2 linked regions of the Arabidopsis thaliana genome follow. The protein of the gene in region 2 interacts with the protein of the main gene of each other region in a biochemical or structural test. Each region holds a gene or a part of one and is shown on either strand. Other genes may lie near its edges.

Evidence for each region. The genes of interacting proteins can lie anywhere in the genome.
Region 1: the proteins of HAM1 (region 2) and WUS form a complex in vitro, tested with the Arabidopsis thaliana proteins (one study listed by BioGRID).

What each region holds. Positions count from the first base shown.
Region 1 is NC_003071.7:7,808,634-7,812,391, forward strand, and holds WUS (Homeodomain-like superfamily protein), read right to left. Parts: upstream 2,179-3,758; 5' UTR 2,039-2,178; coding exon 1,543-2,038; intron 941-1,542; coding exon 852-940; intron 761-851; coding exon 467-760; 3' UTR 238-466; downstream 1-237. Other genes in the region: AT2G17960 (uncharacterized protein), read right to left, coding at 3,747-3,758. UniProt on the Arabidopsis thaliana protein: Transcription factor that plays a central role during early embryogenesis, oogenesis and flowering, probably by regulating expression of specific genes. Required to specify stem cell identity in meristems, such as shoot apical meristem (SAM).
Region 2 is NC_003071.7:18,618,697-18,622,454, reverse strand, and holds the start of HAM1 (GRAS family transcription factor), read left to right. Parts: upstream 1-2,003; 5' UTR 2,004-2,422; coding exon 2,423-3,758. UniProt on the Arabidopsis thaliana protein: Probable transcription factor involved in plant development.

The DNA of each region.
Region 1 (3,758 bases), about 11 Mb from region 2:
GAAAAGCAACTTGCTTGTTTTAGTTTTGAACTACCAAAAAACATTCAACTGTTCACAAGTTCTGTTGTAAAACAACTATTGTTGATTTCGGTTCAAGATCACGTTGTAATCGATAATTAAGATCATAACATTGTAATCAAATATAGTACATCTCTAGCATTTCTTTCATGCCTCCGGATCTGTGAGGAATTCCTTTTTAAAAATTTACTGAAATAGTCATTTCTTCATAGTAGTAATTAAAATTTTAACTTATTCATCATAGAGATAAAACGGTTGTCAATTACAATTAAAACCTAGACGATACTTAGCTAGTAATTACAAATTACACATAACGAGAGATAACTAGTTAACTACTAATATAACAACTGCATCATTAATCACTAGCGAAGCATAGTTGTGAACATACGAGTACGAAAGAGAGAGAGAGAGGAAAGAGCTTTAATCCCGAGCGACACCGGCGTAAGAGCTAGTTCAGACGTAGCTCAAGAGAAGCGCAAGGGCGAACTTCCGATTGGCCATACTTCCAGATGGCACCACTACCACCGTTGATGTGATCTTCACCGTGCATAGGGAAGAGAGGAAGCGTACGTCGATGTTCCAGATAAGCATCGCCACCACATTCTTCTTCTTCTTGATGACCTTCTAGACCAAACAGAGGCTTTGCTCTATCGAAGAAGTTGTAAGGTGCAGATGAGTAATGATGATCCATGTTTGCCCATCCTCCACCTACGTTGTTGTAATTCATAGAACAGTCTTGTTCCTTCACCCAAAAATTTCAGTTTCATTAAATTTCTATTCATATATGTAGTATAAATATTATTTGAATTAATGAATTATAGTTTGGTACGTACCATAGATCCATAGACATGGCTACTCATGTAGCCATTAGAAGCATTAACAACACCACATTCAGTACCTGAGCTTGCATGATTTAAATTCCCTTCAAACATATTAATATACGTATCATCAGTGATCATATATGTTGTGATTCCAGAATCCAGACCATACTATATACAGGGGAAAAGAATGAAGAAAGAGACATAAAATTAGTGATTTTTTTTCTACTAACCCAAATCCCTAATTGTGTTACAAGTCACAAATGAAAATAAAATGCACGTGAGTCTAGTTTCCATTACACAACAAAGAAACCGTTCTTTAGATGCAAATTTGGTTTGCCCCAATCAAGATCCATAACTTCAAATATACGTCATTACATGTACATAACATCTTCTTGGGTTTAATTATTTTTACTAATTCATGTAATAATAGATGGTGTGTAACATGTTCCTATAATATATATTTTAGATTTTTAAATCAAAACCATCTGAATAAATTCATAAATCAACAGCATTTTTTAAAATCTTTTTAACAATTAACATATACATATATCTATCAAAGTCATATATGTAGATCTTGTTAGTTTTTTTTTTTTTGTGTGTGCTAATTCATGTAATAGCTAGTGGTGTAAATGGTTCTCTTAGTAATTATAAAAAACCACCTGAATAAATTCATAAAAAAGCATGTATAAGAGAGATTAGTCACCGTTATTGAAGCTGGGATATGGCTTGTTATGATGATAGAGATGATGGTCTTGGTTAAGTTTAACGTTGACGGAATTAGCAGGTCTCTGCATGGGAACACCGTGATGATGGTGAAGTAGAGGATGATAATGATCGTTAGCCGCCATCATAACCGAGTTGGGTGATGAAGATGGTGTGGTCATGTTTGTTCCGTTGAATCTCTTCTTCTGACGCTCACGAGCCTTATGGTTCTGGAACCAGTAAAAGACGTTCTTGCCCTCAATCTTTCCGAACTGTCTCAGCCTTGCAGTGATCTTCTGGATCTGATCGGCTGTTGGTGACCGGATTGCATTGTTGTAGTAAAGTTCTTTGAGGATTTTGATTTGCTCCGTCGTCGGTGTCCACCTCGTGCTGGTCTGGCGACACGTGTAACCACCAGAGCCGGACTTGTTGTTGTTGTTGTTGCCGCTTTCTTGGTCGGCTTGATGATGATGATGCTGATGCTGTGGCGGCTCCATGTGTGTTTGATTCGACTTTTGTTCACAAAGTTAACGGTAAATAAGATCAAGACTTAGAGAGGAACAAGAGAAAGAGAAGTTTGAAGTTAGCAAGAAAACAACTTGCTGGTAGTAAAGAGATTTTAGGTTTTGTGTGAGAGAGAAGATTATATATATATAGAGAGATAGTAAGGTATTGAGTTATATATATAAATGGGGACCCAAAAAGAAGGTTTTACAATATTCTAGAAAATCAGTTATTCACTATATTATTCTTTTATGCATGTAGATATGATTTCATACATACAAAACCCTATTGAAAAATGTGCTTGGATATAAGAAATAAATTTTGCCAAAGAAAAGGATATAAGAAAGAAAAATAATCAATTGAATTAACATTCAAATAAAATGTTATGTTTAGGAAGGAAATTCTCTTGTCAAATATATTATTTGATTTTTTTTTATTCAGAGGAAAAATCGAAACTACTCTTGAGAGTTTTAGTGAGAATAATAATAATTTTTATGAAAAAATTTGTGGGGGATCGAATCAGAGGATATCTGGTGGAGAAGGATTGAAAGGGACAGAGAAGTTAGAAATAAACATGAAAATGGAAAGGGACAAAGGAGGGAATTAGAAAGGTGAGGGCATCATCGGTATTTACTTAGACGAAAAACAAACTCTCTTTTTTCAATTTCTCTGTCTCTTCACAATTATTACTTCACCAGCTTTAATTGTTATGTATCTGTCTACGTATGAAAGATATTTACCCATACACACAGAAAACAAAACAAAAATTCTAAAAGATCGTTATGAATTATTGTATCGTAGGAATGAAAGAAAACGATTATAATTTTTTTCTAGAATGAATAATAAAAAAAGTGAAAACCGTTTGATCATAAAAATACATTTTTCCTTCCTTATGGTCATGAGTCATGACACATAGGTGATATAGGATATTTTTCGTGGTGATATCGTCCGGAAATGTGTTGAAGAAATACTCTATATAATTTTACTTATGCTTTGCTTTAAAAGATATTAAAATTTATGTCAATTACAATGTGTGAAACGAGTGTGAAGACAGGTGTACTTATGAACATGTTGAGTATTCTTTAGTTAATTATATGCTCGAATTTATAGGAGCATGGATGGATCTTTTTGTATAAATGCGTGATTTATTCATTTTTTTTAAAAAGTTTGAAGGGCTTTGTTTTAGTGAATATGACTTTTGTAATTGAAAAGGAACAATACCCAACTTTTGTATAGTCTTATTGTTCTACGTAACAGCCACATATTGTATATAAAAGATATATAAAGATTTTTTTAGGAATCTACAAATTTCATAGAAGCTATTATAGTTTTTATGGGGAATGGCCCTGAAGATACGGCTGATAAAATATTTATTTTTTTTAAAATAAAAAACCAAAGATCCGATCACTGAAGTTGCTTGGCTATTTCATAGTATAGTTTTGTTTATATAGCCCCCATGATTTCTCGGATTCAACACAACGTGCAAAGAGTATCGGAAAATTAAAAATAGGTTTTACAAACTAACTATTGTAACTATTAATATTTGGAAAACAATCTAAGGATTGAAGTCTTAAAAAATTTTTTTTGTTAAAAGGTTAAGTCTTATAATCTTTTATCACCTAAATAAACTCAGTTGTATCCCAAATTTTTGTTGGTAAAGAAAGTATTTAGTTAGACTGGTGGATTACTCATTTTTTAACTTTAGTCGATTAT
Region 2 (3,758 bases):
AATGCGATACACATTTTGTTTTAGGACAGAGACACAATAGTGGTGGAAACTCACATGGAGGTTTGTGATTTGTCTTGGGAAATAAACCATGTCTCTCATAATGACAATGCTCAAATAATAATAATAATAATCTGTTTTTTTCTTTCTGGTTTAAGAACGTAAATATATGGTTAACTCAAGGCAATACTGATACATAATAATAACATAATAAGCATGTCTACTTTACATTCATACACAAGCAACCAAGAATTTCAATCTTGTCTTGGAAATCCAGCTGCCCATCTCCTTGTTTGATTTTCATTTACTCCACTTATTGTTGTTAAATACATACATAACCACTTGATTTATTGGTAATGCTATTATATTATTGTTGTGTGCTTGTTATGGTTGTAGATGTAGTAGTGAATTAGATATAGAATAAACAAATATGTTAGCGTGATCCATGTTATGTCATCGAGGTGTTTCATTACCACGAATTTTCTTAGAAATTGTGAACAACATATTGGGACCGTGCGATTAATTTGATTTGTGTTGACAAGGAAAAAATTGTTTTATAATTTTAACATAAGTTTGGTTTCCAACACCGGTGTTTAGTACTGTTTTAATATTGTATACCTAATGTAAGTAGTTTATTAAGAATGGACAAAATGTACATTAACTACTTAATATTTAAATGAACATTTGTTTTAAAACAAATAGCAGAGTGAAAAATTTGACATAGCAATGTCATTTTCATTGACCAAAATTAATATATCAAAGTGCGATTCAAATAATATAAACTTATAGTTTAGGTTTTTAACAAAATAGTGGAAATGTTTCGAGATGCTTTCACACAAAACAATACTAGTATTTTCTTCAAAAACTTTAATACATATATATATATATATATATATGAATATAATGTAGTTTTGAAAATAAATTCCATGAACAAAAAAAGGTCCTAATAATAAATTCGAATAAAATAGTGTTAGTTATTTAACTAACACATGTTATGATTAACAACTTTAAGTTCTTTGCAAAAAAGAGTTTAGTTTTTAAATCACGAGTTAAAGTAATCGACACCACCACCATCTTAGATTTTGTAGTTAAGACTAATTAAAGAAAAAGGAAGAATACTTCCAACATAATTTAGAGCCAATGGATTTGAAGTGAGACAAAGCATCTCAGCCGTTGAAAGATTTTGGTCTCGATGTTTTCAAAAAATCTTCAAAAAGCCACACCAGAGAGACACTCAAATAGAGCACCGGTCCGTCAGATTCAGTTTCGAAAACCAGGCCCAAAGCCACCTGCCAGACTTGTTTCCCCTCTAATTACTATATTGTCCTTCTCTCTTTTGCAGTGTCTTCCTCGAATCTTAAGGGTAAAATTGGGAATTAAAGTAAATATTAGTAATGAACCATCTGCGTCAGTTTCGTCTTTTTGCTCTGTTTCCTCGGCATATGTAAGATTTTTTTTTCTTTCAAAAAACACTGTTTCAGATCAGTGACCCTTTCTTTCATTATTTTGGAGAAAGTATTCGAAAATAAAGTACGTGAAAACGGGAAATTATTTAAACTGAGAGGTGAAATTCTTTTTTTTTATTTTCCCTTCCGTTATTGTATTATTTTCCAATGGTATGTTGGAAGAATTTGTTTTAGATTTTTCGAAGATAAAGAAAAATCAACCAATAAAAATAAAAATGGCAAAAACATGTTTTAGTTCCTTTTGAGGAAATGTTGTTATAGAGGGATTATCCAGTTATAGACATCATCGCAAGACCACTAAATTCGTTGTACACAAAAATGATAAGCAACTAGTAGTACTTTGTTGTTTCAAAATTTACAAGTAGATAGAATTAGCTCGTACACAAACCTCTATAATAGTACTATAGAAGAAGCAACTTACGGCCAAAATTGAAAGAGTAAGACAAATTAAGTTGTAGGGGGAGAGTAGAGTCACGCGCTGGATTTGCGAAGAGACTCGACAATGATGGCACAAGAACACGGTACATATGTAGATAAGTACATCTACAGACATAAGCCACACATAGAGGACGAGAAACCAGAAAGAAAAAAAAGAAATGAAAATTCCTTATTACAAAAACCAAAAGATTTAGAGAGAGAGAGAGAGATAGAGCATTGATGAAGACCACTTTTTATATATTGCACGCATCCATATAACAGCTACAGAGAAAGAAAAAAGAAAGAAAGTGATTTTAGAGAAAGAAGAAAAAATTAAAGAAAGTTGGGGCGCCAATTACAAGTTTTGAGCTTTGCATGTGTTTCTTTCTTCCGTACATTAACCACTCTGAGACATAACCTCTCTCTCTCTTCTTTTGTTGTCTTTCTGTTCTGTTCTTGAGATCTCTCTCTCTCTCTCTCTCTAGGGTTATTTTTTTCTGGGTTTTTTGTTTTTACAGTTACTCTGTGTTGTTGAGGAGGCGATGCCCTTATCCTTTGAAAGGTTTCAAGGGGAGGGGGTGTTTGGTTTATCTTCTTCTTCTTTCTATTCAGATTCTCAGAAAATCTGGTCCAATCAAGACAAAACCGAAGCAAAACAAGAAGATCTTGGTTATGTTGTCGGTGGTTTTTTACCGGAGCCGACGTCTGTTCTCGACGCTCTAAGAAGTCCTAGTCCTCTCGCTTCTTATTCTTCTACCACCACCACGCTGTCTTCCTCTCACGGCGGCGGTGGTACCACCGTCACCAACACCACCGTAACCGCCGGTGATGATAACAATAACAATAAATGTAGTCAGATGGGTTTGGATGATCTTGACGGTGTTCTCTCTGCTTCTTCTCCTGGTCAAGAGCAGAGTATCTTGAGACTTATCATGGACCCGGGTTCTGCCTTCGGTGTTTTCGACCCGGGTTTCGGATTCGGGTCTGGTTCCGGGCCTGTGTCTGCTCCGGTGAGTGATAATTCGAATCTTCTGTGTAACTTCCCGTTTCAAGAGATTACGAATCCAGCAGAAGCTTTGATCAATCCTTCAAATCATTGCCTGTTCTATAATCCTCCGTTATCTCCACCGGCTAAACGGTTTAATTCCGGATCTCTTCATCAACCCGTTTTCCCTTTATCGGATCCGGATCCGGGTCACGACCCGGTTCGTCGTCAACATCAGTTTCAGTTTCCGTTTTATCACAACAACCAGCAACAACAATTCCCGTCGTCTTCTTCTTCCACGGCGGTGGCTATGGTTCCGGTTCCGTCGCCGGGAATGGCCGGCGATGACCAGTCAGTCATCATCGAGCAGCTGTTCAACGCGGCGGAGCTAATCGGAACCACCGGAAACAACAACGGCGACCACACCGTTCTCGCGCAAGGGATATTGGCGCGGCTCAATCACCATCTCAACACTAGTAGTAACCACAAGTCTCCGTTTCAAAGAGCAGCTTCTCACATCGCTGAAGCTCTCCTCTCACTCATCCACAACGAATCATCACCACCGTTAATCACGCCGGAGAATCTGATTCTCCGAATCGCCGCTTACAGATCCTTCTCCGAAACCTCGCCGTTTCTCCAATTCGTTAACTTCACAGCGAATCAATCGATTCTTGAGTCCTGCAACGAATCAGGGTTTGATCGGATCCACATTATCGATTTCGACGTTGGATATGGAGGACAATGGTCGTCTCTAATGCAAGAACTCGCTTCCGGAGTTGGAGGAAGAAGAAGAAACAGAGCATCGTCTCTGAAATTAACAGTCTTTGCTCCTCCACCTTCTACAGTCTCCGACGAGTTCGAGCTTCGTTTCACAGAGGAAAATCTCAAAACAT